4 linked regions of the Mus musculus genome follow. The protein of the gene in region 2 interacts with the protein of the main gene of each other region in a biochemical or structural test. Links are inferred from orthologs where the notes say so. Each region holds a gene or a part of one and is shown on either strand. Other genes may lie near its edges. The genes, in order: Npr3, Nppb, Npr1 and Npr2.

Region 1 (7,726 bases), on a different chromosome or scaffold from region 2:
GAGGAGTATTTTCATTCCATAGGCCTGCAGGAAACATCGGAAAAATCCATATGCTGAGAAAAAAGCCAGGTTCCTTCGCGTACATGAAAATCACAGATGTAAACTGTCCAAGGACATGCATGGTCAAGTTGCTGTCAGGCTTCTGAGTAGAAGCCAGCTACCTCCTCACAGCGGTGCGATTTTGTCTTTTTTCTCTGAGTAAATGAGGAGGCCTCCTCACAAGTTTCCACCTGCATGGGAAAGGTGCTAGCACACCCATAGAAATGTGATGGATAGCAGGTGGAGCTCTATGAAGAACAGTTGAGCCCGTGTCAGCTGCAAACTTCTTCTCTCTGTCACTTTGAGAGACATAAGCTCCTGGTTCTTCTCTCTGGGCATGTCCAGCACTTCTTGTGGAGACTGGCTTTTGAAGAAGGTCTAAACTGTTCATTATTCTGTTCTAAAGACCAACTGAAAAATAGACAGATCCCTCCAGTGCCTCTGGCTCGTTCTCCCTACTTCTATGCTGCCCCTAAAGCATCCTGTATTTCTAGACAGTTTCTGTTTTTTCCACTAAAGGAAAAATTCAGCTCATTACCAGCCTTCTTCTAAAGACCTGTAGGGTATAACTACACAAATAGGTAGTGGGCCAAAGTTCAATTGGCATTTGCCTTTGTAGTTGCACCTATTAGGGATCTGAGCTCTTTGTGTCTCAACAAACACAGACCCTAGTGTTTTCCAATTTATAAATGCTATTCTTTCATTCTCTTTTTTCGTGTGTGTGTGTGTGTGTGTGTGTGTGTGTGTGTGCGCGCGCGCACTTGTGACGCATCTAAAACACCTGCACGAGTAGCTCTGTTTCAAGAAAGCAATGGCATCACTAGAAACAGCTTCTGAAACCACTCTCTGAGATACACAAGGCCTCCCTTTCCACGTCCCACTGCATGTCTTAGACCCTGACAATCAGTCCCAACTAGAAGAAAAGAGGTAAGTTAGGGACACAGAAGGTAGATGTGCCAGGAGCAAAGGCACAGGATGCCTGTAAGCAAGGGGAAGTGACTTGGCATTCCAAAGCTTTTCATTCAAGAGAAAAAGGAAGTGGGGGTGGGGCATCTGTTCTCATTCCATAGGATTCTCCCTCTCCTCCATGAATTCTGAAATGTAAACAACTATTTCAAGACATGTGGAATTCTGTCTGTGGTTCAGGAAAAGACACGCCAATGGCTCTTCAAAACAATACATGTTGACGGATTCCGTGTGAAACCTCTGTTTGTGTTGGGAACAGATATGACTCTACCCAGAAAGTTTTGTTTCTGAGTTCAGCTTCTCTCCCAGATCTAAGACAATAATATTGGCTATAAAACTTGTGTTTATTTCCATCACCATAAGTATACGCTTAGTTTAGCTTGTGTATGAACTTATATTTGACAAGATATAAAAAACACTAATGAAATGCCCCCCCTTTGAAACCTTGATCATTGGACTTAAGAGTAAAAATTTATAGAATGGCTTAAGAACTAAAGTTCCATTTTGTTAATTATATAATAGATGACTACTGGCAGATTATGAATGACTAATTGTCAAAGTTGTTGCTTAGCAGTTAAGAATTTAAGTTCTACAATACAATACCAAGAGTTTTTAACCCAGAGCCACCATGGAACAGACATCTATACTGTCAGCAAAGGTTTCCCAACTTGGTGGTGTTTTTAAAACTTAATGACATTTTGGCTACTCATATAATGATTTATTTTTTTCTGAGACAAGGTCTAACTGTGTAACTACAGCTGATCTGAAACTCACTATGGAGACCATCCTGGCCCTAAACTCACTGATATCCTCCTGCTTCTGCCTCCCAAGTGCTGGAATTGAAGACATGGGCCACCTTGTCTAGCCATGTAAAGACATTCAAGAAAGACAAACTATACAGCAGGCATGTAAATGAGCAATCAACCTTAATAATATTAATAATAATATAATAATATAATAAGAATTGCTTTAAAATTGTAGGAAATGACTCCAGGGACTTCACGATTCACCCTGCCTATTTATTTTTTAAACATCTAATCTATTCTTTAACATCTAATCTGGGGATCCACTATTAACCTTGGAACAATTCCTCTAGCTGGAGCAGAAATAAAAAATACTGTTGTAACTATGCTGACATTCAAGGGGAAACTATACAAATTCAAGAAAGGATTAGACATATTCATACCCAAAGAATATAGCCAGGTAGAGAACTTTTCCCACTGTCACCCTCCTGCAATTAACACACAGGTTCAAAAAAAAAAAACATTAAAAAATGAGTATCTCTGAAACACAGGGAAAACATCATTGAAAATGTAAGAGAGAAACAAGCAGCCCTCTGGTTCTGAGAACTGGGGTGGATGCAGTCTGCCCATCTGTCTTCATTATGTGAGTCCCTGACCATCAGCTGCAGCCTTCCTGAGTTGTGCTCCACAAACGCGCCTCCTGGATTAGCATTTTAAAGTTTGCCTTTCTGGCCTACTTTTTTTTTTTAAGTCAGCACTTTTCCCTCAATATCCCACAGGCAGAACCACGACATACCTCCTACCACACCCCCTTCAGTTGTTCAGAAGCTAATTCATTTTATCATGCGGTTTGCATCCCGTTTCCTGAGCCCCACACAGGTGCAGCCCATTCACTTTGACTCCACTGAGAGAATGAGGTGTGGTCCACTCCTTCCCTGGGAAGCCAGCTTCCAGAGCTTGCTAAGCTTGCTTGGACTCCTCCACAGTTAACCTGGATGGATAGGACCTCCAAGAAATTATTTAATTTCCCCCCTTTAAGCTGGGTTTCAGATGCTCAGAATGTTACCAAGAAAGGCAAAATTACAAGACGGTACCCTTGTTCTCTCCTCAAATGATAAAGTCGGAACCAGAATTGAAACCTCTGCACCCAGGATTGAGTGCAAAGAGGATACCCAGCAAAGGCTGGCTCAGTCTTAGCCACGATGCCCTTGTCTGTCCTAGCTCACTGTCCAAGCTATGCATCATTTGTGGTGGCTGCAAAACTCTATAAGGTTAAAGGGACACAGCAGATATCAACATTCCCTTTTTAAATTAAAATCATCACCTCAAATTTTGATAAATTGCATGCAGTTTTTTTTTAAACGTATCACCACTGTGTCTTGCTGTCAAATTCTCACTGTCTGCTTATTCTTGAGGGAAAGGGGTTGTGTTTCTTTATAGACTCCACTTAAGTCTACTGGTTTTGAAGGGCATCATTTGACCATAGTTAGAAAGAATGTAGCCCTCCAATAACATCCATTTAAAACAGTTGAAAATGAACAACGGCTTAACATCAACGTATTCCTTCAGAGTTTGTAAGCTGAACAGACTTCTGTACATCTTCAGCCAGACTAGCAGTTAGACTAGAGACAGCCAAGGGACAGAGGACAGCAGAGAAAACGAGAACCGTTCCTCCCTCTCCACAGATTTGTCACACACCTCCTCCGTGCTCTTAAAATATAAGTGAAATTTAATCTTCAAAATGAAAAAATAGACACATTTCTAATACCAAAATATAAGATTAAAATACTTAAAAATAAAATGTTAGTGTGAAGTAGGACTTTTTTTACATCGTATAAGAAGCATTTTAGACTCAATTTTCTTATATAAATCCTCCTTGCTCACTAATATTTACAGTTTTCCAGAGTAGCTCTGATGAGACACTAAAAGAGACAGGGAGGATCCTTTCTTGAGATATGAATTCAGACCTGAATGTGGACGTTGGACGCAGCCTTCATCAACCACAAACCTGTCCCCCAGTTCCAGAGAGAGGGGCACTGCATTCCCAGCCTGGAGATTTCTTTCATTCCATTGTCCTCTTATTGGGTGTTAAATTCTTTCCAAGAATATTCTCCTTGTAAAAATTGTTTTATCCTAGCTACGAAACATTTCATTTCAGAAAAGCCACATTTTTCTATCCTCGTGTGAACTGCCCCCAAAGCAATCAAGATATGGACGCAGCAGACTTTCAAGACATAAATCTCCTCTGATGCCCCTCCAGCAGCCAGAACACTTAACAGCATTGCGTTGTTTCATTATATTAGTTTGCCATGAGATGAGAGGCCAGAAGGCAGATAGTGATTAACAATCATTCCTGAGCTTCTAAAGAAAATGTAAAATGAAATGACTACTGCTTAAAAGAATGACTTCTCCGAGAACGCCCTTTCTGCTCCGTTGATGTCTGTCCTTCCATCTATCTCTTTAAGGAATCTCAAGTAGACGAAGCGAGAGGGGCATCTCTTTTAAGCCACCGAAAAATGTGATCTGATGGAATCTTCTCGCAGCTCTCGATGCTTCCCGATGTTGCTTTCCTCTTGCTGATTTCGCCTCTCAATGGTTATTCTGTATTTCTTCCTGGGTAAAAGCAAAACAAATGTAATAATAAAACCTCACTCGGCTGTAAAACACCATGGTTCCTCTTACAAAGAGTGCCCTCCAGGGACATCTGGGTTAGGTTTGATAAATGACAAGTGACACAAATATGAAACCCTGTTCTGAGATTAAAGTCGTGTACCCCCAAGGCATCGTGTCCTTATTCAGGGAGAAAAATTGGCATGCTTTCTGAAATGCCACAGAACAAGCCTTCCCCTTCTTCCCTGGGAGTCTTATCTATTCTGCCCCAGAAGCTCTGCTTGACTCCCAGGATGTGCCCCCAGATAAAGATCAGACCAAATGTACTGTGACCAAAGGAACAGGAACACGATTGTTCCCACAAAGAGCCACATACACCCAGACTTACATCTCCAATGCAAAAGTGAAGAAATATTACAAATAAACCATGATGATTTACAATGCCCCATGAATTCAACCACTGAAGATTACCAAAGGACGGGCCACTGTCGCTGCAGCAAACGACTAGAACCTTGAACACATGCGCATAATTAAAAGTTTATGAGATTTAAGCCACAACAATGGCAGCTAAACATGTGACTTCTCCAAACACAGAACCCACTGCAGCCCGGATTCACAGACCACTGGAGCTCCTTCCAGCCTTTCAAGTGAGCATGAGCACTTGTTTCTAAACCGAAGAAAGACTGCGGATAGAAAGTTCATTCTTTGTCCACATTTTTGTATTTGATACAAAGACTCTTCATGTTTGTAATTTGATAGGTAGATGTTCGTAATTCTCATAAATGGATCAATGATCCCGAGATCCCAGCCACTTTCTAGCAAGTAACATAGGAATCAAGGGCTCACTGCCTACCAAACCCAAGATGGAGTCAGAGAACAGTTTTGGTAATTTAACCACCATCCTTCTTGTTTAAAAGAAGGGTGTGGGCAAATCACAGGGAACATTATTGCAAAGACAGGGGACAAAGGCAAAAGAAGCAGGGTGAACTTTAACTCCATAAATGGGCCATACCTGAAAAAGTAGAAGGCCATTAGCAAGCCAGCACCTAGTAGGGCCCCCACAACGATTCCTGTCACTGCAGATTCTTCTAGGCCACCTGCTTGAAAAAGAAACATCAATAATCAGAGTTCATTTTGAGAAATAAGTTAAAATACTTTGACTTTTGTTTATCTCCCAGTTGAAACTAATTTGCCTTTCTTTGTAACATATGTATAATATATTGTAACATATTGTATATTATTTACATATAATATTTATGTACTATATATAGTATTATATGTAACCTATAATGTAAAATATATATGTATAATGCTCTGAGGAAAGGTTTCCAGAAAACACTAGATAAATGCACCGTGACTCGAGAGTGAACAGAGCAAGGTCAAAACAAGTTCAAAGTCGGACCTGGGACAAACACCAGTCACCCTAGCACTTGGGAATATGAGGCAGAAGGCGCTTAAGCTTGAGGCCAGTCTGAACCACATAGCATAATCTGTGACAGGAAAGGAGAATGGAGAGAACAGAGGGGAAGGAAGAAAAGAAGGTTAGAGAGAATAATAGACAGAGAAAGAGACAGATTCAAGATGGATCTGATGAAAGCTGCAAACTGAAGATCTCACACACATCCATCCTGGTTTTGAGTTTAAAGGCGAAGATGCGTGAATGGACAAAGGCACTGGCCCAGAGCTTCTGTCTCTCCAGGTGGGTGGTGACACTTCAAAGTGCTAGAAAGTTCCGGGAGATTGCACTGGGTCAGTATTCTGTTTTTAGATGTTCTCTCACCAAAGTCAGAGTTCCAATCCAAACTGTCCTATATAGCTTTGTGAAAATGTGAACCCCTGTTTGAGTTAAATCTTTCTCGGTAGGATCACCGTTCTCAAAAAACTCAACAGCTACTTTCCTTGCAGGGTTTCAAATAAAGCCTGTGGTGCATGGACATTTTGGCTGCCCAGATCAAAGCTGGGGAAACCCCCTTTACATGCTGGAAATGTGAGACTTGGTGAGTTGAGGGGAGTCTCCTAGGGTCCCCAAACTGGCAAGCAGGAGTGTGAGATTTGGAATACAGACTGGGCGATTATGAGGTCAACACACTTTCTCCTTCATCCTTTCTCATAATTATCACATGGATATAAATTCCTCATCATTCAAAGATGGTCCTGACCTAGCAAACACAGAAGTGGATGCTCACAGTCAGCTATTGGATGGAGCACAGGGCCCCCAATGGAGGAGCTAGAGAAAGTATCCAAGGACCTAAAGAGATCTGCAACCCTGTAGGTGCAACATTATGAACTAACCAGTACCCCGGAGCTCTTGACTCTAGCTGCATATGTATCAAAACATGGCCTAGTCGGCCATCACTGGAAAGAGAGGCCCATTGGACAGGCAAACTTTATATACCCCAGTACAGGGGAACAACAGGGCCAAAAAATGGGAATGGGTGGGGAGAGGAGTGGGGGGGGGAGGGTGTGGGGGAATTTTGGGATAGCATTGGAAATGTAATTGAGAAAAATACGCAATAAAAAAAAAACAAAGATGGTCCTGAGACATAATGATCGTTCATATAGTCACCTAAAATCACTAACTGCCCTGCAAGATTGACATCACTTGTTCTTACTCATATTACAAAGCCCCTCAAAGACAATCATCTCCGAAACCGTCTCCCTTTGCTGTGCTATTCATAAGAAGACACACTTGCTTCTCTATTTGAACCCAGAAACTGACCGTTAATAATATATTCAATAGTTATTAAATTAATTAAATACTTTGCAAGCTGTCAAGCATTTAATGGCATTGAGTGCCCCATTTGGAGGATTTGGGGATTTGGAGGTCAACTGTGAACTTTGAAATCAATAATGAAACTTCTTACAAGAGATGAACAAGAGACAGCTGATAACATTTTTATTTTTCCTAAAAGTGGAAACCTCTGATAACTAAGAGACTAGAGTGAGAGATATAAATCCAGGCAGAATACCCTACCATTTGGAAGAAAAGGATAAAGGAAAGGAATGTGGAAGCTTCCGGTAAAGGAGGAGGGTCAGCCATTTGTGAGTTGTTTCCATGGTTTTGAAGACATCGGAAAAATGCATGGGACTTTCAGAACATGAGTTCTTGAGAGAAACATGTTCCAGACTCATGTGATCCTGGGACGGGAGAAGGAGGACAGTAAATTAAGTCTCTGAACTTACATGATTTGCAAGGAGAGCTGTTGGTATGCTCCACGATTCTGGTCTCATCTAGTCTCAGTTTCAAAGGGCCCCAAGGATATTTGACATTCGATCGCATTTGGAACCGGCCTTCTTTCCCAAAGTAATCACCAATGACCTACAGAAAGGCAAAAGTCAGACGGACAGACAGAAGGTCAGGCCAAAGG
Region 2 (7,356 bases):
GGCCTCCCCCAAAACAGCGTGGTGACAACACTGACTAGGGTTTTCTTGTCGACTTGACATGGGGCAGGGTCAGCCGGGAAGGACTGCAATCTAGAAACTGCCTCCACCAGGTTGACTTGCAGGCAAATCTGTGGAGTATTCCCTAGTTAATCATCGATGCAGAAAGGGCCTAGCCCACTGTCATAGCTGGGCTCCACTCCTGCTACCAGCTTCTACCCTAGTTTGCTGACTACTGCTGTGATAAACACCGTGACCAAAACCAACATGGAGAGGAAAGGGATTATTTCATTGTACAACTCTCAGGTTGCCCTCCATCACTGAGGGGAGTCAGGGCAGGAATTGAAGGCAGGAACTGAAGCAGAGGCCACAGAGCAACACTGCTTACTGGCTTGCTACCCATGGTTTACCCACCTCCCCCTTTCTTATAACACTCAGGGCCACCTGCCCAGAGTGGCACTGCCTACAGTAGCTGAGGCATTCCCACATCAATTATGAATCAGGAAAATTCCCCACAGACTTTCCTGCAGGTGAATCTGATGGAGGCATTTTCCCGTTGAAGTCCTTCTTTTCTTCCCAGACGACCCTGCCCCAAGTCAAATCGACAGACCAAACAAACCAAAAAAAAAAAAAAAAAAAAAAACAAGCAATCAAACCAACTAACCAACCAAACAACCAAACAACCAAACAACAAAAAGACCTAACCAGCATACTTCCCATGTAGCTTAGGAAGGCCCAAAACTGATCCTCTACCTCTTGCGTTCTGGAATTATACACACATGTAGCAACCCCTGTTTATGCGGCACCAGGGATGGAATTCAGGACTTCTGCACACTGGACAAGCACCAGCAATAGGCTCTGCTCTAATTATTTGTGTATTATTTTTATGGATGTGTGGTATATGTGTGTGTGTGTCTGCACGTGTTTGCACTTATGTACATGTGTGTGAAGACCAGAGATCAATGTGCCTTCCTCAAGTGCTCTCTTGCTGAACCTGGAGCTCACTGGCTCAGCTATGCTGGCTGCACAGAACTAAGCCTTCTGTCTATGCCCCCTCAGAGCTTGGATTACAGATCCAGGCTGCTGTGCCCAGCTTTCATGTGAATGCTGAGAATCCAATCCCAGGTCCCTATATCAATGACAGGCACTTTCCCAACTAAGCTATAGATCGCATCAGCCTCCCTTCTATGATTTCTTTATACTCTTTTGTTTTGTTTTGTTTTGTTTTGTTTTGTTTTGTTTTGTTTTGTTTTGTTTTGTTTTGTTATGTTTTTCAAGATAGAGTTTCTCTGTGTAGCCTTGACTATCCTAGAACTCACTCTGAACATCAGGCTGGCTTCGAACTCATAGATCGCCTGCCTCTGCTGGGATTAAAGGCGTGTGCCACCATCACCCAGATTTTTAAAAATTTGATTCTGAAAGTGTGTTTAGTGTTACTGGTGGGAGAGTAGGGGAGTGCTGGGTGTGAGACCCATGCAAGGCAAGTGCTCTGTGGCTGAGCCTCATGCCCAGCCAGGAGACTGGTTTTAAAGGACATGCCCTGTAGTGCTTTCAGCTAGCAACATCCTCCTGGAAGCTCAGCGAGGTGTCCCTCTGGGTAGCCTTTCCAGGACTTTGCTTGGAAAAAGATAGCCAAGTACTGGGTGCAGCATGAGTCACACCCAAGCAATGGACCCCTATTAACAGATGTGCCTAGTCTCCTGGGAAAATGGGTGTGTACTGTCCCCTGAGCAGAGGTGCAGGCTGCAAGCAGGTGATGGCTCAAATGTGCATCTGTAGGATGAGCCATGAGTGGGTTAGAGTGTCTATGCCAGCAGCAAGCCTAAGTCCCTGGCTTGGAAGAGATTGTGTGGACAGTGATGAGAACCTGGGTCAGAACGTAGCTCTGCTGCTTACTAACTTCACGACCCTGGGCAAATCACAGGACCGCTCTCTCTATGCCTAGGTTTCCCTGCCTGCCAAAGGAGGGTGCTCAGCTTCTTCTCAGAGTCACAAGGGGCTGTCCCAGCTGATGGAACCGTGCCTGCCTTGTTAAAAAGGGCTTTGTCCACATCAACTGTTCTAGCTACTCGTTGCCTCTGCATCAGAAGCATCAGAAGATGACTCACGGATGCTTGGAAAATAAGCTACTTTTTAAACCTCAACTTTAAAAAAGAAAAAAAAAACCCTCATTGCTTTCATTAGATATCCACAGCCTTGAGTGCACACAAGATCGAAATGAGAAATCACACGAAGAGCCACCTCTCGGTCCCCTCTCTCCATTAGACACTCTCCAGAGCTCTGCTCAAGCCAGCCAGAACAGATGTGCCAGCCACTCAGCTGTCCCCTCATGTCCCAGGAGGCCTGGCTTTTCTGAATTTCAGTTTTCTCGCCCATAAAATGGGAGTGATGATAATCATGACATTACTAGTCATGAGGACCTTTGGCCCTCAGCTGAGTTTCGGTGATACATGGCATTCAAAGGAGAGGGTTCCAGCTGGGCAGCCGTGGTACATGCCCTTGATCCCTGCACTCTGGTGGGAGAGGCAGGTGGATCTCTGCGAGTTTGAGGACAGCCAGGTCTATCTTAAACCAAAATAAACAAAAGCAAAGTAAAAGAGCTAAGAGATAGATTGAAACTCACGGACACAAATCCTTTTCAAAAGCAGGAAATACGCTATGTTTATTATGTTGTGGCAAGTTTGTGCTCCAAGATAAGAAACAGTCTTGTAGAAAAACAACAAAATAAATTAAAAAATAAAAATAAAAATAAATATAAATAAATAAATAAATAGGATCACTTCAAAGGTGGTCCCAGAGCTGGGGAAAGAGACCCAGGCAGAGTCAGAAACTGGAGTCTCCTGCAGCCAGGAGGTCTTCCTACAACAACTTCAGTGCTGTGGGGAGGAGAGACAGGGCAATGTCACACTCGGAAGTGAAACTGAAGCAGGTGCCGAGTCCCCCACCACCACCACACCCCCATCTTCAGTCCCCAGATGATGTCGAAGTTTAAGGCTCTGGAAAAAGCTATCTCACAGGGCCTCTGTTTCTCCTGTAAAGTGGGTTGGGCATGCCCTTTGCCTGAGGGGAAATGCTCAGAACTCTTTCTGCCTTGTGAAGGGGTGATTAGACATCAGGCAGTCTGCTCCCTCAGAGCGTGTGACCCCTCTGATGGAAGGTAGGTGCTGACCTGTGAGAATGTAATGCAGAACCCATGTGATATTTCCTGACAGGCTGCAGGAGTATGCCAGATAGCAAACCTAGGGGCCTCTAAGGGTAGCATGCACGGGGATGGGATGGGTGTGCAGCTTTGCAGGGAAGTGGCAAGGTAGGTGCTCACCGTTACAGCCCAAACGACTGACGGATCCGATCCGGTCTATCTTGTGCCCAAAGCAGCTTGAGATATGTGTCACCTTGGAATTTTGAGGTCTCTGCTGGACCCGGAGGGTGCTGCCTTGAGACCGAAGGACTCTTTTTGGGTGTTCTTTTGTGAGGCCTTGGTCCTTCAAGAGCTGTCTCTGGGCCATTTCCTCCGACTTTTCTCTTATCAGCTCCAGCAGCTTCTGTGATGGATTGGGGAGCCCAGACGTCAGAAACACACACACCTGAATCCCCCATCCTTCCATAGTGCTCATCAGTTAAGAGATATGCTGCCCAATCTTTCAGTTTGCTGACTCTCACATGGCTAATTCCCAAAGGACTCGAGGTCTTTTCATTGCCGCTTCCCAAACCCTTCAGGCAGACCCTCAGTGCTCACCTGCATCTTGAATTGCTCTGGAGACTGGCTAGGACTTCCCAGAGGATAGGAGTGACCTCCCAGCGGTGACAGATAAAGGAAAAGCAGAAACAGAATCATCTGGGACAGCACCTTCAGGAGATCCATGCCGCAGAAGCGATGGGCCAGGCAATGATGCCGTGTTCTCCCTTGTCTCGCCTCCCCAAGCAGCTTGTGCACTGGTGTCTTCAACAACGGTGCCTCTGCCTTTTATACTGGGGCTGAGTGTCCGGCCAGACCTTTTCACGGAGTAGGGGTGGGGTTATCTCTGATTTATCAGCTGCATTCCTGCCGGCTGAGCTCAGGACCTGAGAATTCACCCCTCTGTGCCTGTGTGGAGTATTCATTGTGGGTGGAGGCTGTGGAGAGCAAGCCTTGTATAGAAATGGGCTGGGCTAGGGTGGGGGTGTGCGGAACACACTAACAGTCCTTGCTTCCTGCTCCCTTCTTTCATGCAGAGCCTGAGGGCCTATGACATCCTGCCCCACCCCTATTGGAAATGGCGGGGAGAGCCCCAGCTTTCCCAGCCTGTGGCGAGTGTGGGGCTTATGGCGTGACTCATGGAAAACATTCCCAAACAACACCCACCATCACCAGCCTCCCGGGGAGAGTGTCCTCCAAACCTGTAATCCAGGCCCGGCCTGGCTTCCCAGCACCTAGCTGGACTGCACTACTTCCGGGTACTCTGGTAGCTGTCCGTGGTTCTGATCGCCACACGTGTACTTCACACCAACTTTCAAGCTCTCTCCTCAACCGATTTCCAGGCCAGAAGGAGCTATGTGGCTCACACAATGGTTTTGATACCCACCTTCCAACAACCCCCCTCAAAAACTTGTGAAGATTTCAGCTTGAGGATGCTCACTCTCCAGTGTCAACTGATTAAAAGCTGGGATATGACAAGGAACTTCTGGAATTCCAACCCTCCTTTCTGACCCTTAACAAGAAGAGCTGATTAGGATAGAATTTTGAGTCTGACCCAAAGATGAGGTCACGTAGCCATGCCATCTGGGGCATCATCTCTGGGTGCCAAAGTCTCCTCCCCCACCATGAGTGGAAGAGAAAGTGTGCCTAGACTCCAGACGTGTGGGAAAGGCCTCTCCCCAGCTCTCTCTTAGCTGATCGGCCAACAGTGACGTCTCCCTCACACAACGCACCCAGCCTCCCACTCAGATGAGAATTGAGACTCTGAGGAAGTGAAGCTGAGGCATATACACCCAGGTGTGCGCCCAGTGTCTCTATCCCTTCTGCAGAATCTGTGCTAACAACTGTCAGGTTGGTCAAGGACAATGACCAGGAGTGGCAGTGGGTTAAGGCAGAGATGGAGAAAGGGGATAGTTAGAAGATCATGAGTCCAGAACCAGTCACATTTGGAGAAAGCTGTTAGGTTCTTCTGCAAGCTTCTGGGCCTCTCGGACCCATGTTTGCATGAGATTCTGTGTTCTGACCCAAGGGAAACACACACTCTCTTCTAAGCAATTGTTTAGGAGAGGCAGAGAATGCCTCCATCTCCACTCTTAGCTCAACCCTTCTCCTTGCACATGAATTTGTCTCCTAATCCTAATCCTTCTCACACAATTTCCCTCTGAGAAACCAATTAGCCTACCACCCCCACGTCCAGTTTCAGTAAATTCTCAGGACACAGGCAGAATAAAGCCAGATTCTTGGCTAACAGGTCATACAAAGGACCCCCAGCCAAGTTCCTGATAGAGCTTATCTCTCCTCTGAGATAGCCACTATCCACATCTCTATCACCATTCCTGTCATCTGGCTTGTGTGTGGCAGGAGCTTGAAGCCATTGGTAATGTAACACCCACAATCAGGAAGCAGAGAGCAGTAAATTCCTCTCTCTCTCTCTCTCTCTCTCTCTCTCTCTCTCTCTCCATTTATATAGTCCAGAACCCCATCCATGGATCGGGGCCACCCACAGTGGGTCTTCGCTCCTCAACTAACACAATAAAAATAATCCCCAGTGCTGGAAGATGGCTGAGGTGCTTTAGAACACTGGTTGCTCTTCTAGAGGACCTAGGTTTGGTTCCCGTGCCCACATGGTGGCTCACAATTACTTACAACTCCAGTTCCAGGGGATCTGACACCCTCTTTCAGCATCCACTTATTTTGTTGTTGCTTGTTTGAGACAGGGTTTTATTGTGTAGTCCTTAGGTGGCTTGGAACTCACTTTGTAGACCAGGCTGATCTTGAACTCACAGAGATCTGCCTGTTCCTACCTCCTGAATGCTCTGTTTAACGGACTGTACATATTTTGAGACAGGGTCTCGTAGCCCAGGCTAACCTAAACTACCGTATCTTCCTGCCTTTACTTCTCAAGCACCCAGATTACAGGTGCGTACCACCATGCCTGTTTTATGTTGGCTGAAGATTGAACGTGGGGCTTTGTGCATGTTGGGCAAGCACTGTGCCACAAGCTCTGTCCATGAGGCATACTCAGGGTGCCATGAGACACACATAGCTTGGTGGCTTGTAGTGACCATCTTTCAACTGCATCTTCCAGTCCTGGTGATTGGTAGACCTCTGCTGTGGGACTCCTACTTGATGTCCCTCTTCAGAGTGTGGCCTGGTGCCAGCAGCTGCTGGAGTCTCCTGAAGACTTTTCTTAGGCAGAACAGACACAGGCTGTTAGGTCAGTTGTCTGGTGGCGAATGAGGATCGAGGATCAGTTTCTAATACCGACATGGCAGCTCACAGCTGCTGATAATGCCCTGTATGGTCTGGACCTAGCATCAGTGTGGGGTCTACTCCACCCTTTTCCATTGTTTAAAACAGACCCAGGTGACTCCAAAGAAACTGGAAGTAGACCCCACCTCTGTGCAGAAATGGGGGCTGAGCAGAAAGGAGTCTTCAGTGTCTTTGTCTAGTCATTACGTCTTCCTACAAAGCGGTTTATGGAGACAGCCTCTGACCTCCTCACTTTTGAGCACATGCCTTCAAGCCCTTCCTGCAGCTGGTGCTGTCAAATTCCAGACTGTGTTTAAAAATCCAGTCTGAGAGGGACTGAGGGATGCACTAGTCAGGTCATCTTTTTAAGCAAAAGGCCTTTAGAAATGCCAAGTGTGGGGCAGGGGTCTGAAAGCAGAGCATTTCATTCTTTCTACGCCAAGCAAGGCATTCAGACTTAAAGGGTTCTGAAGATGGGCCAATCTGAGATCTCTAGGAAGCAGGCTTGGTTAACACATGGCCTCTGCTGAGTAACAGAGGTAGGGGAAGGGGATGTTGAACTATGAGCCAGTGAGTGGAGCTTGGGTGATCTGCCATGTAGTCAGGCTGCTCTGAACCCTGAGCAGCAGGGGGTTGGTTGTGTTCCCAACCTGCTCACAGCAGCACCTGGAGAGTCTGGGTTCTCACTTTGTCTCTGTCTTGCCTATGAACTCTGTCCCCTTTGTTTGTAAAGATGTATTTAGTGGGTTTTTTCCTATGTGTATGAGTGTTTTGCCTACACACATGTATGTGTACTGTGTGTGTGCCATATGCTGAAATTTCTTTCTCTTTTTTTCTCTCCTTTTTTGAGACAGGGTCTCATGTAGCCCAGGCTGGCCTTGAACTCTCTGTTTAGCTGAGGATAACCTTTACCTCTTACCCCCTTGCCTCTA
Region 3 (7,726 bases), on a different chromosome or scaffold from region 2:
GGATCATTTGTTTTTTGTTTTGTTTCACAAGACAGGGTATCATTATATAGCTCTTGCTGTCCTGGAACTCACTCTGTAGACCAGGCTGGTTTCGAACTTTGAAATATACCTGCCTCTGCCTCCTTAGTGCTGAGACTAAAAATGTGCATGCTAAAGTTTTTAAAAATAAAATTTAAAGTAATGTTTATCCATTTTTGTATGTGTACATACATTCATGTGGGTATGTGTTGAAGTCAGAGGACAACTTGTGGAATCCAATCTCCCCTGGAACCGTATGGGTCTCAGGGGTCAATCTCAGGTCACCAGGCTTGGCCAGCAAGCACCTTAATCCAGTGAGCCACCTCACCAGCAAAACACCTATCTTTGTGGGTGCATGAGTACATTAAACAAACAATTAATAATAATAATAATATTATTATTATTATTAAATAGACTTTGTTTCCCAAGCTGGTAGCTTAGGCCTGTTATCCCAGGTACTTGGAGACAACATCAGGAAAATTATAAGTTCAAGGCCAGCTTGAGTTGCTTAATGAGATCCACATTAAAATAAAGAATATAAATATCTTATATCACATACCTCAGTGTTAGGCCACTTGTTAAAGTCTCTTAAAAAAATTGTGTTAGAGTGCTTTGCTCAGATGTAAGCTAAAGAAAATGCTTTGAGAACACTTCTGTAGCTAACTAAGCTTTGGGGCTAAGGTGGGCTTAGTGCGTTTTCAACCCCATGTGTCACACACACACACCAATTGTCTTGATTTACAATGTGGTAGATACATGTATAGGGAAATGAGGGCAGGCAGAGAGAAGGCAGGAGCTAGCTGAGGAACTAGGTAGATAGAAGCAGCCGGATGTACTAAGTAGTCACCCTTCTCATTCCCTCAGGAGGGCCATCCTACCTTCCCCATTAGACTCCATTCTTGAAGCTGTGTTGACTGTGTCTCCAAAGAGGCAGTATCGGGGCATCTTTAGCCCTACCACACCAGCACACACGGGACCTGGGAGGGGAAAAGAAAGGAACAGAGTCCAGGGAAGTCAGAGGAGGTGAGCACCCCAGAAGAGGTAGGAGTTGGGATATGTGGTCCCAGGGTGTGTGGAGAGAGACAGGGGATAAAGGTTTAGTCTCGGACTTGTTTCTGAGTTTCAGCCTCCGGAGGCCTTCCGTGGTCAGACCTGTGTGAATTCCAATGCGCAAGCGCAGCTGTTCCTGGGGCCTATGGCGGATGCGGAAGGAGCGTACAGCATCGAGCAGTGCAAGTGCCATTCGGGCTACCTCTCGGGCATGGAGCTGTCCATTCCTCACTGGGAGCCCTGATACCACCATGTAAGCATCACCAATGGTCTCTACCTGTGGGGCGGGGGAGAATAAAGGACAAGCTTTGCCTGCGTTACCCGCCTACATTCTGTGCCTATCAACTGGCCTGTCAATGTACTCAGCCTCAGCCCGTTTCTCTGTCTGTTCCTGGGTTCCCCCCACCCCTGTGTGTTTCTGCCCATGTTCTTGGTCTTTGTTTTCTCCTCCTCCTCCTCTTCCTTCTTCTCCTTTGTTTTTTCAAGACAGAGTTTCTTTGAGTGTAGCTATGGGGTCCTGTCCTGAAACTTGCTCAGGCTGGCCTCAAACTCATAGATTTCCCTGCATCTATCTTCAAGTGGTAGGATTAAAGGTGTGCACCACCATGCCTGGCCTTTTTTGTTTTGTTTTGTTTGTTTCAGAGGATCCCTCTGAACATTTTCTGACTGTCCATGTCTGCCTGTCTTTCTTGTCTCTACTCATAACCTCACCTTGTACACATCAAAGTTGTCTATGACAGCATCAAAACAGGTGTACAGATCATTGAGCAGGGTGACCACCTGGAAGGCAAAGGAAGCCAAGAGAAATGGTGAATGAGGGCTCCCACCAGGGACAAGTGGAGAGTACTAACCAGGTGGCCAAGCTGACCTACCTGGCCTGTTGCCTGTGGCTGAACCCCGGCTTACCTGCATGGGTGTGCTCTCTGCTGAAAGAGCTGTAAAGCCCACGATATCACTGAAATAGATAGTAACACTATCAAATGCCTCAGCCTGGACTGTCTCGCCTCTCTTCAGCTGCTCAGCCACAGAGCTGAGGGGAGAGGGCAGGTAGAGACCAAGAGGTGAGATGGGATGGGGACAGGGCTATACGTTTGTGTGTGTGTGTGTGTGTGTGTGTGTGTGTGTGTGTGTGCGCGCGCGCGCGCGCGCGCGCGTGCAGAGTTTAGAACTCACTGAGGCAGAATCTGGTAAAGCAGGGCCTCAGCTTTGCGCTTCTCCTCCAGATAAGCCTGTGTTCTCTCCTCTACCAGTTCCTCCAGGTTGTTGGCGTACTGTTCCATGCGTGACAGCAGGTTGTCCAGGATGTTGCTGCTGTTCTCCCTGAGGGCCATGGGTTACAGGGGCGGGGGGCGGGGGGAGCAGATGAGATGAGATGGGATGACTGGTTCTTCCTGGCAGTGCCCACATTATTCAGGCACTCACCATGCCTGCCCCACCCTTAAAGACAGGGTCTCTCTAGGTAGCCATAGCTGGATCTATTCACATTATCAGGGGTTTTAGGTGAAAAGAACAACTGGCCTTGAACCCACAGACATCTACCTGCTTCTCTGACCAGCTGGAGTTCTTACTTATTCTTATTGAACACAAGTGAGTTTGAAGGAGGTGGGGAGGGAGAGAAGCAGGGTGAGCTGAGGATAGTGACAGGCAGCAGAGAGACATGAGTGGGAGAACTAGCCGGTGGGCATACTGGAAAAAAGAGATGGAAGTCTGGGGGTTAGTACAGGGCCGTGGGCAGGAAAGGGTGTGGGGTATCAATGTTGGCAGAGGAAGGAGTAGTGAATGGTAAGGAGCTGTTGGGACAGCCAAGTCATCCAGCTATGCAGATGCCTTTGAGGCTGTGGTGGCTTCTGTGGGCTGCCACTGTAGAAGAAGATTTAAGTGTGGGATTTACAGTGGTTGTAGTGGGAGAGACCACTAACTTGTTGAACTTGCGCAGCGCCAGGCGGATCTGTTGAAAGGGTGGCCGCTCCTGAGGATCCTCTGCCCAGCACCTCTGCATCAGCTGCCCCAGTTCCTCCAGGTGGCTCTGCAGATCCATGGAAGGTCGGAATGGGGGCTGCTCGCCCCGAGTCACACGCTCAATGATCTCTGTGTGGAAGGGGCACGCACTGAAGAGCGGCAAGCCTAGCTGGGCAACCAGCTGGGATAGACCTGTCTAGGTGGGACAAGTCCAGACCAGAGCACAGAGTGGACTGGTCACTAGCAGCCACAGAGCAAAGGATAGTGGCTGACTCCCCACTCCAGAAGGAATGGTAGGGGTGTTTGGAGAGGTTCCCTCTCTGGTGGTAGATTCATCAAGATTGGCTGGGGTATAGGCCAAGTGATCCTCACCTTTTGGGCTGAGGTCCAAACCTTCCACATAGAAGACCCCACTTCTTAGGGCAATTTCCTGAAGGATGATACCAAAACTGTAGACATCCCCAGCTTGGGAGCCACGGGCAGGTGGGGAAGCCATTCGCAGGAGCTCAGGTGCAGTCCACAGTTTTTCTGTGGATCAGAGGTTGGGAGTCATAGAAGGGATAAGGGACTTTACATTATGATGGGAAAAAGAAAAACTAGCAAATGAATATTATATTTCATGGGTAATAAATGCTATAATAAAAGTAAGACAGGGGTGGGGGCCTGGAAAAATAGCTCAGTGGTTAAGAACACTGACTGCTCTTCTAGAGGTCCTGAGTTCAATTCCCAGCAACCACATGGTGGCTCACGATCATCTGTAATGAGATCTGATGCCCTCCTCTGCTGTGTCTGAAGAGAGCAATGATGTATTCCTATGCAGGAAATAAATAAATAAATATTTAAATGAAAAAAAAGTAAGACAGGATGGTGTGATAATCTGAGAAGGCTGCGAAAATAAGCTGTCATATGGTTTAAGATAATCAGGGATCAAGGGTGTAGCTAGGACTCCTGTGCACACGGCACAGTGCTGAGAACCAGTGACCACTTGGTCTGACCTCCTTTTTAACCAATGAAGATTGAGCCTGCAGATGAGAGGTATACCCAAGTCATGCAGAGGTTAGGCCTCAGTTTCCCTTCTGAGCTGTGTTGGCAGCAGAGGCCTAGGGTCAAGAGTCAGACTTACTGGCAAAGAGGGTGTGTCCTTGCTCTGGCTCCGGGTCTCTGAAGCTCTCGAGCCCATAGTCTGTGATCTTTAACACAAAACGTCCATCTACCACGCAGTTGGATGACTTGAGGTTCCCATGGGAACCAATGGCCCCGTTGTGTAGAAAGAGCATTCCCTGGAATATTTAGGAAGGCGAGAGGGCTCGGGTTCGTGACTTCCAACCATGCCCAGCCCTTGCCTGGCATCCAGTGAGCTCCTCTGGACTCACCTTGACAATGTCATTGGTGAGTGAGTACCGAAACATCCAGTCCAGGGTAATACTCTCATTCTCTAGAATGTCCTGCTGGGGCAGCAAGAGTCAGACCCCCCTGGGAGTAGGAGGAGGGTACAAGGGAGCTACTGGCGTAAGCTTGGACACTTGGATTTGCTGTAGTGCCATGCCCGCCCCCAACTCCCATTTACAGAGAGGCCAAGAATGGCCAGAAAGAGGAAGCTTATCTGGGCTCATGTGATCAATGGGGTAAGAGCCAGGGCTGGAACCCCGGGCTTCTCGACACACTCCCTCTTGTCCCGCTCACCTGTAGGCTCCCACGGGGACAGTACTCTGTGAGGATACAGATGTTGGGAGGGTCGGTACAAGCTCCCACAAATCTGGTCAAGTGCTCATTCTGCACATCCCGCATCTGCAAGTGGGGGCAGCATCAAGGCCTGGCAGAGGCTTCATACCTCACCAAGTCATGTGTTGATTAACATTCTTTCTCAGCATCTGCTCCCTAACCCCTTGATTTCCTGGCTGTACCTATGAGGACAACCCGTCTGGACCCTGGAGGACCCAGTGATCTCTCATGACTGATCTCCTTTTTCCTACCCACAAGACTCAAGGGCCCATCCCAGATGTATAGATCCTTCCATAATCAAGTTCTGTTGGCCGACTCTCTTGGGAGTACCCATGGGGCCCTTCCCAAGCCACAGCCTTGTTCCCCTAAATTACATGTTTAAGTTCAAACAGGACTTTTCGTGTCAACTCAATGCGTTTCCGGTTCACACGTTTCACAGCCACGAGGTTGCCCTGAGCAAGAAATGGAAACTTATTATTCAGGAGATGACCTGAGACTCCCATCTGCTTCTGAAACCCATCCATGACCCCAGCTCTCTACCTGCTTCTAAAAGCCCACCCCTGCCCTGGGACCACCCCTGTCCCCTGGCAGCCCACCTCAGAACCATCTCTTAGTCCTCAGAGCACACTCTACAATCTTGCCCCAGACCTACCTTATAGTATGCTGTCTTGGCAAAGACTTGGAACTGGCCCTCCGTGGTTAGCAGGGAGCCATAATTGGAGCCTCGCTACAGAGATGAACAATAGTCATCTATTGGTCAGCCCAGAGGTCATTCTGCATCCTGGAAGTTCTAGATTCAATCACACTGCCCCTTATCTGTTTACCCTGCAGAGAGAGGCTCTCACTCTTTAGCTCAGGCTGCCCTGGAACTTGTAGTAATGATTGCAGGTGTAAGCTACCCATGCCAGCTCCCACCCGCCTTTGTGTAGTGTATTAGACTCATACCTGCGTGCTTACTTAGACTATGTCATTTGACCTTTGAGAGGGCCTTGTTACAGAGGCTGTAACTGCAACCCTCACTTAAGACAATGTCAGAGTGAGCAAGTGAAGGCAGAGCTGGGGGTTAGCCTGTTCTTTTGTTTGGCTCTGGTTTTATGAGAGACGGATGGGCTAGCCTCAGACTTACAGCAAGATCTTCCTATCTTAACCACCCAAGTCCTGGGTCCGGGTGAGTCACCTCATCTAGAAGCTTCCGCTAACTCATCAGCCATTGCTCTTGGCACTCAGCTATCCCCATCCTCCAGAGACAGCAGTGTCCTCACCCCACTCAGGGTCAGCCGACTGCCAGCGCTCCGAAGGTGCCTCTCCAGGCTGCTGGGCTGCAAGTCCTCCCAGCGCACCCGCCACAACTCTGAGACCAGCTCCTTTTCCAGCTGCATCTTCCTGGAATGTGAAGCCTGCATCTGAGCCCCGAGCCCTGGTGGGGTGCTCCTCAGCCCTCAGAGCCCCAGGACACCCCACATGCTAAGGGATGCTTGAAGGAATCCTGTTCTCAGAGCTGAGAGCTGGGGCTTGGAGCCTGAGGGAAATTCTAACTCACAGGGGATCTTACCCGACAGGGAGAAGTCACCTCAGTTCCTTCCTTTGGAAACTGGAGGCCTCTGTATCTTTTTTTTTTTTTTTAAATAAGACAGACATCTCACTATGTAGCCTGGGTTGTCCTGGAGCTCACTATGTAGACCAAGCTGGCCTTGAACTCACAGAGATCCACCTCTCTCTACCACCCGAGTGCCGGAGTAAAGCTATGCACACCACACCCAGCTTCTACTTCATCCTTAATTATTACAGGATGCAGTGTCCTGAGTGTGGAAGTGCCTGGCACACATGCTCAGTCAGCACTGCTCTCTTCCCCCCTCTTTCCTGTTTCCTTATCCTGCTCTGTACTTTCATTTCCCCATGCACCAGAGGCCAGGAGTGGGCTCGCTCACCTTCTTTTAGCGTCAGCACCTAGCTCTCAGCTGAATTGTCATCCAGAACCAACTCCTTTAGTTGAAGTCAGTAGCTGAAGTTTGTTTGTTTTTCGTTTTTTGAGACAGGGTTTCTCTGTGTAGCCCTGGCTGTCCATACTATCTATAGACTAGGCTAGTCTTGAACTCACCGATTCATCTGCATCTGCCTCCTGAGTGCTGGGATTAAAGGCCTGCACCACCACTGCCCAGCTACCTGAAGGTTTTGAACTACTGCTCTCTATCTGGTCCCAGCAAAGGATGCTAGTCCCACATCAGCATCCGCTCTGCTCTGAAATCACTTCCCAGCTACTTTATGGCTTTAACTGATCCATGCTTTCCAGACTCCAATCTGGAGCTTCTGCCTCCTCACGGAGGAAATGAAAGAAGTATTCTTCCCCCCATTGGGTTTCCTCCCAGGCCTCCTCTCCTCCTGCTCCCTTCTCACCTAGCACCCCTGTGCCTTAACTTACCTGTATATGAAGAAAGACACGATCAGAAAGCTAACCAGAGAGAGGCTGCCCACCAAAGCCAGAACCTCCAGTGTGGAAAAGTGGTCTGTGGGGAGAGTCCAAGTTGTAGAAGAGAGACTGGGGTTAGACATTAGGAAGGAGGAGTCATCTAGTAGTCAGTTGACTGATATGATAAAGGAAGGGCAGTCAAGTCCGGAGCCAAGAAGCCTCTGTTTAACTCCCCTGGGGAGGAGGCAGTGGCTCCACATAGGATTCTGGAATCATGGGCCTGTCACCTTGGTTGCAGGCTGGGTCCTCATTGTCAAAGCCACATTTAGGGATGTCAGGAGGTGGGTATCCCAGAGGCCAGTATAATCTGTGTTCTGACACAGCCATCAGCTCCTGGGAAGTACCATTAAAGTTCAGGACAACCTGAGGGAGAACGGGGGAGGTGGGAGGTAAGTGCCTGTAGCCTCCTGTACCATCCTGCCTCCTGCTTGCCCGTCTACTTCCAGGACCCTCATCTGGGCTACCAAGTACTCACTAGGTTCCTGCTGTGACTATCCATGAGTCTTCAAA
Region 4 (7,726 bases), about 100 Mb from region 2:
ACAGAGATCCTACTGCTTCTGCCTCCCCAGTGCTGGGGTTAAAGGTGTGCGCCACCATGTTTGGCCTCTGTATTTAAGCTTTAGGGCTGCCCATTCTCTTGTTTTGTTTGTTTGTTTGTTTGTTTGTTTTGTTTTGTTTTGGTAGATGAGAGATGTCCAGTTCAACCATCTTACTCGCTTCATCGGAGCCTGCATAGACCCTCCCAACATCTGCATTGTCACCGAGTATTGTCCTCGTGGGAGCTTACAAGTGAGGGACAGGGGTAGGAGACTGTGGTAGGGTGGGGGTGGAGGTTCCAAAGTCACCTTGTGTCAAAGGGTAGCCCGTGAGACTGGGGACAGACCCTGATCTCTAACGTGTCACTGTCAGGATATTCTAGAAAATGACAGCATCAATTTGGACTGGATGTTTCGCTACTCGCTCATCAATGACCTTGTGAAGGTAAGTCTTCCCCGCCATGTAAAATGTCTCAGTCCCTCAATCTTCGCTGCAGTTTCTCTCCTGGATCTCTAACAGCCAAGCTCTTTCCCAGCCCTCTCCTCCCGTGACTGGGTGATGCAGCGGTCCTATGTCCCGAGAGGTTCTTGTCCTCCTGTCCCAGATATCTTTAATGTTTCTCTAGTGTCTCTTTACCTCAAAGGGTTCCCCTGTAGTAGAATCCTATAGCTGGGCATGCCATCATATGGGAGGTTGAGGCAGGGGGCTGCTCTGACTTGGAGCTTGACCAAGGCTTCAGAGTGAGTTTCAGGCTAGTGTGGACTACATAACAAGATCCTATCCAGAAAAAGAAGACAATTAAACCAAACCGAACAGTGACGAGGCATCCCTTAGCTGGGTGTGGGTAGTGCACATGTGTAATCCCAGAACTCGCTGAGACAGGAGGATTGGGTGTTCGAGAACAGCCTGAGCATCAGTAAGAATCTGTCTCAAAACAAACAAATGAAGACGTCGAATGAGGTCTCCGTGCACTCGTCTCCTGTAATTTCATGCTTTAACCAATATTCCCCATGCCTGTAACTAACTGCGGAAGAGGTCTCTAGTCTTTAACATTTCTAAATTTAACTGCTTGTTTCTGGAGACTGGGTCTCTCTGTGTTGCCTTGGCTGACCTGGAAGTATCTCTCTGTGGACCAGGCTGACCTTGAACTCAAGAGATCTACCTGCCCCGGCTCCTCTGTACTGGGATTAATGGCAGGGGACAACACTTGTAGCTTTGATTTCTTTTAGAGACAGGGTTTCATGTTGCCTAGACAGGCCTCAAACTTACTATGTAGCCAGAAATTGCTTTGAACTCCTGACTTTCCCATCTCTACTTCCCCAATGCTAACATTGTAGGTGTGCACCACCATCGTACCTGGTCAGAGACTGAAACGTATTTGTATGTTAACCTAAGAGAGAGGAAGGAAACTTGCACTAAATCTGTTTCCATTCTAACGGCCAACCATTTTAAAATGACTCAGAGGCCTGCAGATGGCTGAAGCACACTGATGAATCTTGTATGGCTTAGACAGTGTTCAGAAGCAGGTCTCATCAGCCTACTCATGAGACCGCCTGACTGTGCCTGACACTGGCTCTGATTTTCTGCTAAGTTTTCAGAAAGTTTTTTTTAAAATTAATTTATGCATATGAAAGTTTGCCATCAAGTGAGAGAGGAAACTATTAGGGAAAGCCAATGTAGTTTTGGACAGGAGATGTGGGGATAAACATGAAACCCAGGGGTAAATTCACCAGCTTAGGCATTCCTTCCTAAAGGCCTCGAGCTGCTCAAAGCAATAAAGAGGAGGAACTCGAAGGCCTTGGACCTGTTCAAGGCCAGAGCTTAGCGGTTACACCCTTGTGATTCTGGTCCACAGCAGAGCCTTCTAGCCTCTGTCTGACCACCTGCACCGACTAGGGAGGGCTTCCAGAGTTTCTCTTTGGGGAAACACTGCCTTGCCCTCCCAAGACCGGCCTTTTCATCTCCTGGGGGCAGTGTTCTGACATCTCTGCCTCTAGGAAGCCATGCTTCCACGATGACTTGACTGTTGTTGCCCACCTCTGTCTATTTTTTTCAAACTTTGTCTTCACTACTGTGTGGTCTAGCATTCCTCTAATAGACCCCATTCTGCTCCCACCATGACCTGGATCCTATGCACAGCCATACACAAGAGTTACAAGTGGCTGGCTTTCTATGGAGCACCTAGAGCCTAGCCATGTCTTAAGTCGTGTCCTCCTAAACAGTAGCTAGGAGTGTGAAGTCGGTTCAGGTGCCGAGCTGGTTCTGGCTGCTCCCTTCACTGCTCAGCAAGCCGCCATTCTCAGGGAAACTACCGATGGCTCGCCTCATCCCTCTTCATAAGTATCTCCGCCTATCCCTTGTGCCTTGTAGTTCGATGCTGTTTACATGGGAAGTGATGGCTTTCCCATTCTGCCTGCTTCCTCCAGTCGAGGCTCTACAGGAGACATCATCTCAATTCAGCTTGTTTTTTCGGTCTTAAGATCCTTTAATCTCTAATGATTTGGGGTTGGTGGTCTGAATATCTTTATGAAGTTAGCTGGATCATGCCATGGACTGAGGTTGCCTAAGCCAGATACAATCCAGACACTTACTCTGTATCCTGCAGGGTATGGCCTTTCTCCACAACAGCATTATTTCATCTCATGGAAGCCTCAAGTCCTCCAACTGTGTGGTGGATAGTCGATTTGTGCTCAAAATAACAGATTACGGTCTGGCTAGTTTCCGATCAACTGCTGAACCGGACGACAGCCATGCCCTCTATGCCAGTGAGACTGCTCCCTGCACCCCCCTCCCCCCAAGCCATCCCCTCCCCCACACCTCCTCCCTCTGCCGCCTACCTTTTATGTCACCCTTCAAGCCTTGGTCGTTTCTTCCCGGGGAGGGGGTAAGAGGGAGACCAGTAGTAGCAACATGGGGCTGAGCCCAGGTGGCATCCAAGATGCTGTTTGGGGAACCTAGCCAGCCTGTTCACTCTTTGCAGAGAAGCTGTGGACTGCCCCAGAACTGCTTAGCGGGAACCCCTTGCCAACCACAGGCATGCAGAAAGCAGATGTCTACAGCTTTGCCATCATTCTACAGGAAATAGCACTTCGAAGTGGTCCTTTCTACTTGGAAGGCCTGGACCTCAGTCCCAAGGGTGAGCGAGTCCGTTGCTACACAGTCGCTTCTGCTAGGGAAACCTGAGTCTTCATCCAAACTTCCTGTCACCCTTAGAGATTGTCCAGAAGGTGCGGAATGGTCAGAGGCCGTATTTCCGGCCAAGCATTGACCGGACACAACTGAATGAAGAGTTAGTTTTGCTGATGGAGAGATGCTGGGCCCAGGACCCAACAGAACGTCCAGACTTTGGGCAAATCAAGGGCTTCATTCGCCGGTTTAACAAGTGAGAGGTCACCCAGGCTCAGAGGCTCCCGGGGGACAGAAACATTATCATTCTCAGTGGATGCGGCTGGTGTGCCTCAGGGGTGGGTTAGATAGGAAGCCTTGTCATTCTTGAGCACCTTGGAGCAGGTGTGATAGCCTGGCCTCCCTGCAGGGAAGGTGGTACCAGCATATTGGACAACCTCTTGCTGCGCATGGAACAGTATGCTAATAACCTGGAAAAGCTGGTGGAGGAACGCACACAGGCCTATCTAGAGGAGAAACGCAAAGCGGAGGCCCTGCTGTACCAAATTCTACCCCAGTAAGACCTTTGTCCCCCTTCTCCGAGAATTTCCTCACATTCTAGCTCATCCATCTTCTGAGAATTTGTTTGCCACCCTGGGAACCCTGGGTGACGTCTTGCCACAGTAAGCCCTCCTGGCTACAGGCAGAATGCTCTCACTTGGTCTCCATATGGGCTGTGCTGTCATCTTTCAGTTTCCAGTCCCTCCTTCTTGGGGCACTGTTCTTTCTCACCTTTGTCTGACCAAGTATATGCAGAACGATTTCAACTGGAACCACTTATCCCCACGGGAGTCCCCTCGCAGTGCCGGCCACTTTTGCACCCGGATGTGCACTGAGCTAGGTGACATCGTCTCAGCTGCTTTCCTTTTCTTCCACCAAAGCCAACTTCCATTCTAAGGCTTGGCTGTGCCACATACCCCACCCTCTCCCTCCTTCTCTCTCAGAGCGGGGCTGAGGGGACACTCTTGCTTCCTAGTTCTGTAGCAGAGCAGTTAAAGCGGGGAGAGACGGTTCAGGCGGAGGCCTTCGACAGCGTCACCATCTACTTCAGTGACATCGTGGGCTTCACAGCGCTGTCAGCTGAGAGCACCCCCATGCAGGTGAGAGCCGTGAGGGGAGCGGGCATGGGAGTGCTGGGAGAGCCTCGATGGACTAGTTTGCTCTAGAGCTCTTTTGTCTTTCAGCTTGAGAATTTTTTAGGAACTTGGGCACTAATTTCAGAGCCTCTGCTTTCCCGTCCTGTTAGGTGGTGACACTTCTTAATGACCTTTATACCTGCTTTGATGCCATTATCGACAACTTTGATGTCTACAAGGTGAGAGCTGGAGCTGACCTCCTTCTAAGACCCATTTCAAACCCAGTTTCCTGAACCCCACAGACCTTATCCACTCCACAGTCAGCGCTCCCTAAGTTTCTCCAGCGTCCTAGTGTTCTAATGGGTGTGAGTCTAGCAGGCGTGGACACTGGCACAACACCCGTGGCTCCCAGGCTTCCTGATCACGAGCTTTAGTCCCTTCCTCTCTGGGGTATTAGTGATACAGACGCCTGGTCTCTCCTTCCAGAACAGTCCGAGGATGCGGGCACAGCCTGACTATGGATGGGGTGGGGGAAATACATGTTACAAAGCTCTTTGTTAAAGTCATTGTCGGGTTATAAAGTCATTTGGTTAAGGGGCTAACTTGCCCTTGGGCGTAAATGTGCTGCATTTGCATATGGATTTTATAGCTAATTATGTGGCCTTAGGCAGGGTCAGGATTTCTCTGAGCTTTGGTTGTTGCAGCAATAGTTTAGTTATCATGCAAACTGATGGGCCAGCAAGAGGGCTTGGTGGGTAAGGGCGGCAAGCCTGGTGTCTTAGGCTCAGTGCCTGGAATCCCTATGATGGAAGGAGAGAAGTGATACCCACAGGTGTCCTCTGACTTCCACATTCATGTGCGTGTGGGCGTGCACGCACAAATAAATGTGAGACCTATTTTTTTTTAGATGTTCCTAACATGTAGTGTGGTTGTGGCAGGTAACAATATTGGGCATGGTGAGACCTGCCTGTCATCCCAGTATTTAGGAGCTGGGACAGACGGATCACGAGTTTAAGATTAGTCTTGGCTATACAACGGGACCCTACCTAAACATAAAAGAGGACCTTTTAAAGCTTACTTTACCCTTTCTGATGTTTCTCTAACAAAATTCCCATAAACCCTTTACTTAAATCCATCAATTATTTTTATTTCCTCCTACTTATTTTATACGTCTCCTTCCCTCTCTGGAACGTTTGGGAATCAAGCCTCCAGCTTTTCTCACGCTGCTCTGTTCTAATGCTGACTACATCCCTGGCCTTATTATTTTTTTTAAAATTCATATAAAAATTCATATATTCTGGAAAATTTGAGAGTAAGTTTTAGATAAAGTACCCCTTTATCCCTAAATTCTAAGTGTGGGCTCCCTCCAGACTTCACTGTGAGCCACAGGTTGGTACAGCCACCAGCGTCGGGAGCTGCTTCTTCCCTGACAGCCAGGCCATCTGGTCCATGCTACGGAGCATACGCTACTCTCTTTGTGCTTCTGGGTTCTTTGGACTGGGACTGGGATCCTGTCCACTTGTTCAGCAAATGCCACTGAGGACTCCCCAGGGGCTGGGGTCGCGAGGAAGAGTCAAGTATTCCCCTGTCTGGCCTCCTCTTACTCCCAGATTCTCAGGGCCATGGCATGTAGTCCCTCGTCTCTCTGGTCAGTCATGGTCTCCCAAGCTGTCAGGATGACCCCTGCTGTCCAGCTAACCTCCTTTCTCGCTCTCCCCGAGACAGCTGGAGATGACCTCTTAAAACTAGTTTTATTATTTTACTTATGTGTGTGTACCTATCTGAGTATGTGCCACATGGGTGCAGTTGCTGTGGAGGCCACAAGAGGGTGCCATATCCCCTAGAACTGGAGTTACAGGGAGTTTGAGCTGCTACATGGATGCTGGGAACTGAACTCAGGTCCTCTGGAGGAACAGTCAGTGTTCTAATGACTGAGACTACAGGTGACCTTCTAATCTCCCCTTTAAATCAGGTGGAAACCATTGGGGATGCCTACATGGTGGTATCTGGCCTTCCAGGCCGAAACGGTCAGCGCCATGCACCAGAAATTGCTCGAATGGCCCTAGCATTGCTAGATGCTGTCTCTTCCTTCCGCATCCGCCATCGACCCCATGACCAGCTGAGGTTACGCATAGGTGTCCATACTGGTAAGGCTGATTCTCACCTGGCCCTAGTGTCTACTTTTCCAGATCTTTCCCAACCAGTTTGTTTTTACAGGGCCAGTCTGTGCTGGGGTGGTTGGCCTGAAGATGCCCCGGTACTGTCTTTTTGGAGACACAGTAAACACTGCTTCTCGAATGGAGTCGAATGGCCAAGGTGAGGACAACAGCTTTTAACTCCAAACTTGACCTGTCTTACTCTTTTCTTTTCGGAGTTCTTCCATATCTCTCTGTTGGATGGTCCTGAAGTGCCCCATTCTTGGTCTTATGTTGATTCTTATAATTACGCTCTGGCAGGACTGGTGACAATTCTTCTCTTGTCTTTTCTTGAATTTTTCTTTCTCCCTCTGCCCCTGGTCTACATCACCCTAGCTCTAAAGATCCATGTCTCCTCGACCACCAAGGACGCCCTGGATGAGCTGGGATGCTTCCAGCTCGAGCTCCGTGGGGATGTGGAGATGAAGGTGATGGCAGGCTGTGGGGGAGTGGATCATGGGAGGATGATGGTGGGGGGAGAGAGGGAGACAAAGACACTAACACACAAGAGTCTGAACTGTGCTCATCCCCCTGCCTCCAGGGAAAAGGAAAAATGCGAACTTACTGGCTCTTGGGAGAGCAAAAGGGACCTCCCGGACTCCTGTAAAGCCCAGGCCGGCCATCTTCTGCTGCTGGTACTTGGATGGGCAATGGTCACTGTGTTTCCACACAGCAAAAACAGACGTAGCCATATCAGATGGAAAACATGCATAGACACAAACCCCCTGCCTTATGTGGAAATCATAGCCCCCTGCCGCTCAGCCTTGTACATAGACCTATCCCTCCCTGCCCTGGTCCTCTTCCTGCCTCCTGTAAATATCTGTATCTAGACCAGAATATTTTGTCCAAGTATAAAACAACAACAACAAAAAATCATGGTGTCATTGTCTGGGGTCCAGGCCATCCCAAGAGAAGAATACTGGTTGTGGACACAGTTACTCACAGAATCAATGAATTAGCAGCTTGAGGATGAGAGTGCTTTATGTAAAACCCCTCATCGGGGACAGAGAATCAACTCCATCCAATCTACCTCTGTAGTATAAACAGAAACTGATTTCAAATCCCACGTCTGCTTCTCTCCTCGATTCTTAGATTGGAGTTGTTTTCGTCCTTCCACACCCCTGCCCTCCTCCCTGACAGGCAAGGGAAGATATTACCCCCACTTGGTGGGGGCCGCTCTCAAGCTCGTAAGGCAAGGGCTGCCCCAGCGACAAGGGCACGGGCGTCGAGAAGCTGCAGTTCTTCCGGAATGGTGTGTCCAGTGTCCTGATGTCACTGACACCCTGGGGGAG

The links.
Region 1: the proteins of Nppb (region 2) and Npr3 form a complex in vitro, tested with the Homo sapiens proteins (4 studies listed by BioGRID, with this or other methods). The link is inferred for Mus musculus from reciprocal best matches to the Homo sapiens genes NPPB and NPR3.
Region 3: the proteins of Nppb (region 2) and Npr1 form a complex in vitro, tested with the Homo sapiens proteins (2 studies listed by BioGRID). The link is inferred for Mus musculus from reciprocal best matches to the Homo sapiens genes NPPB and NPR1.
Region 4: the proteins of Nppb (region 2) and Npr2 form a complex in vitro, tested with the Homo sapiens proteins (3 studies listed by BioGRID). The link is inferred for Mus musculus from reciprocal best matches to the Homo sapiens genes NPPB and NPR2.

The regions. Positions count from the first base shown.
Region 1 is NC_000081.6:11,840,928-11,848,653, forward strand, and holds part of Npr3 (atrial natriuretic peptide receptor 3 isoform a precursor), read right to left. Parts: intron 7,678-7,726; coding exon 7,542-7,677; intron 5,459-7,541; coding exon 5,371-5,458; intron 4,362-5,370; coding exon 4,250-4,361; 3' UTR 1-4,249. UniProt on the Homo sapiens protein: Receptor for the natriuretic peptide hormones, binding with similar affinities atrial natriuretic peptide NPPA/ANP, brain natriuretic peptide NPPB/BNP, and C-type natriuretic peptide NPPC/CNP.
Region 2 is NC_000070.6:147,982,479-147,989,834, reverse strand, and holds Nppb (natriuretic peptides B isoform 1 preproprotein), read right to left. Parts: upstream 3,936-7,356; 5' UTR 3,860-3,935; coding exon 3,734-3,859; intron 3,540-3,733; coding exon 3,317-3,539; coding exon of another isoform or gene 3,237-3,316; exon of another isoform or gene 2,874-3,236; coding exon 2,857-2,873; 3' UTR 2,630-2,856; downstream 1-2,629.
Region 3 is NC_000069.6:90,453,922-90,461,647, forward strand, and holds part of Npr1 (atrial natriuretic peptide receptor 1 precursor), read right to left. Parts: intron 7,580-7,726; coding exon 7,444-7,579; intron 7,254-7,443; coding exon 7,169-7,253; intron 6,133-7,168; coding exon 6,012-6,132; intron 5,575-6,011; coding exon of another isoform or gene 5,500-5,574; exon of another isoform or gene 5,483-5,499; intron 5,477-5,482; coding exon 5,402-5,476; intron 5,202-5,401; coding exon 5,124-5,201; intron 4,816-5,123; coding exon 4,711-4,815; intron 4,501-4,710; exon of another isoform or gene 4,473-4,500; coding exon 4,401-4,472; intron 4,308-4,400; coding exon 4,151-4,307; intron 3,556-4,150; coding exon 3,400-3,555; intron 3,157-3,399; coding exon 2,988-3,156; intron 2,389-2,987; coding exon 2,242-2,388; intron 2,099-2,241; coding exon 1,975-2,098; intron 1,849-1,974; coding exon 1,780-1,848; intron 1,346-1,779; coding exon 1,171-1,345; intron 996-1,170; coding exon 897-995; intron 1-896. UniProt on the Homo sapiens protein: Receptor for the atrial natriuretic peptide NPPA/ANP and the brain natriuretic peptide NPPB/BNP which are potent vasoactive hormones playing a key role in cardiovascular homeostasis.
Region 4 is NC_000070.6:43,643,938-43,651,663, forward strand, and holds the end of Npr2 (atrial natriuretic peptide receptor 2 isoform 1 precursor), read left to right. Parts: intron 1-145; coding exon 146-250; exon of another isoform or gene 251-263; intron 264-370; coding exon 371-442; intron 443-2,603; coding exon 2,604-2,763; intron 2,764-2,978; coding exon 2,979-3,134; intron 3,135-3,211; coding exon 3,212-3,380; intron 3,381-3,533; coding exon 3,534-3,680; intron 3,681-4,139; coding exon 4,140-4,263; intron 4,264-4,409; coding exon 4,410-4,478; intron 4,479-6,211; coding exon 6,212-6,386; intron 6,387-6,456; coding exon 6,457-6,555; intron 6,556-6,770; coding exon 6,771-6,862; intron 6,863-6,975; coding exon 6,976-7,041; 3' UTR 7,042-7,500; downstream 7,501-7,726. Other genes in the region: Spag8 (sperm-associated antigen 8), read right to left, coding at 7,523-7,717. UniProt on the Homo sapiens protein: Receptor for the C-type natriuretic peptide NPPC/CNP hormone. Has guanylate cyclase activity upon binding of its ligand. May play a role in the regulation of skeletal growth.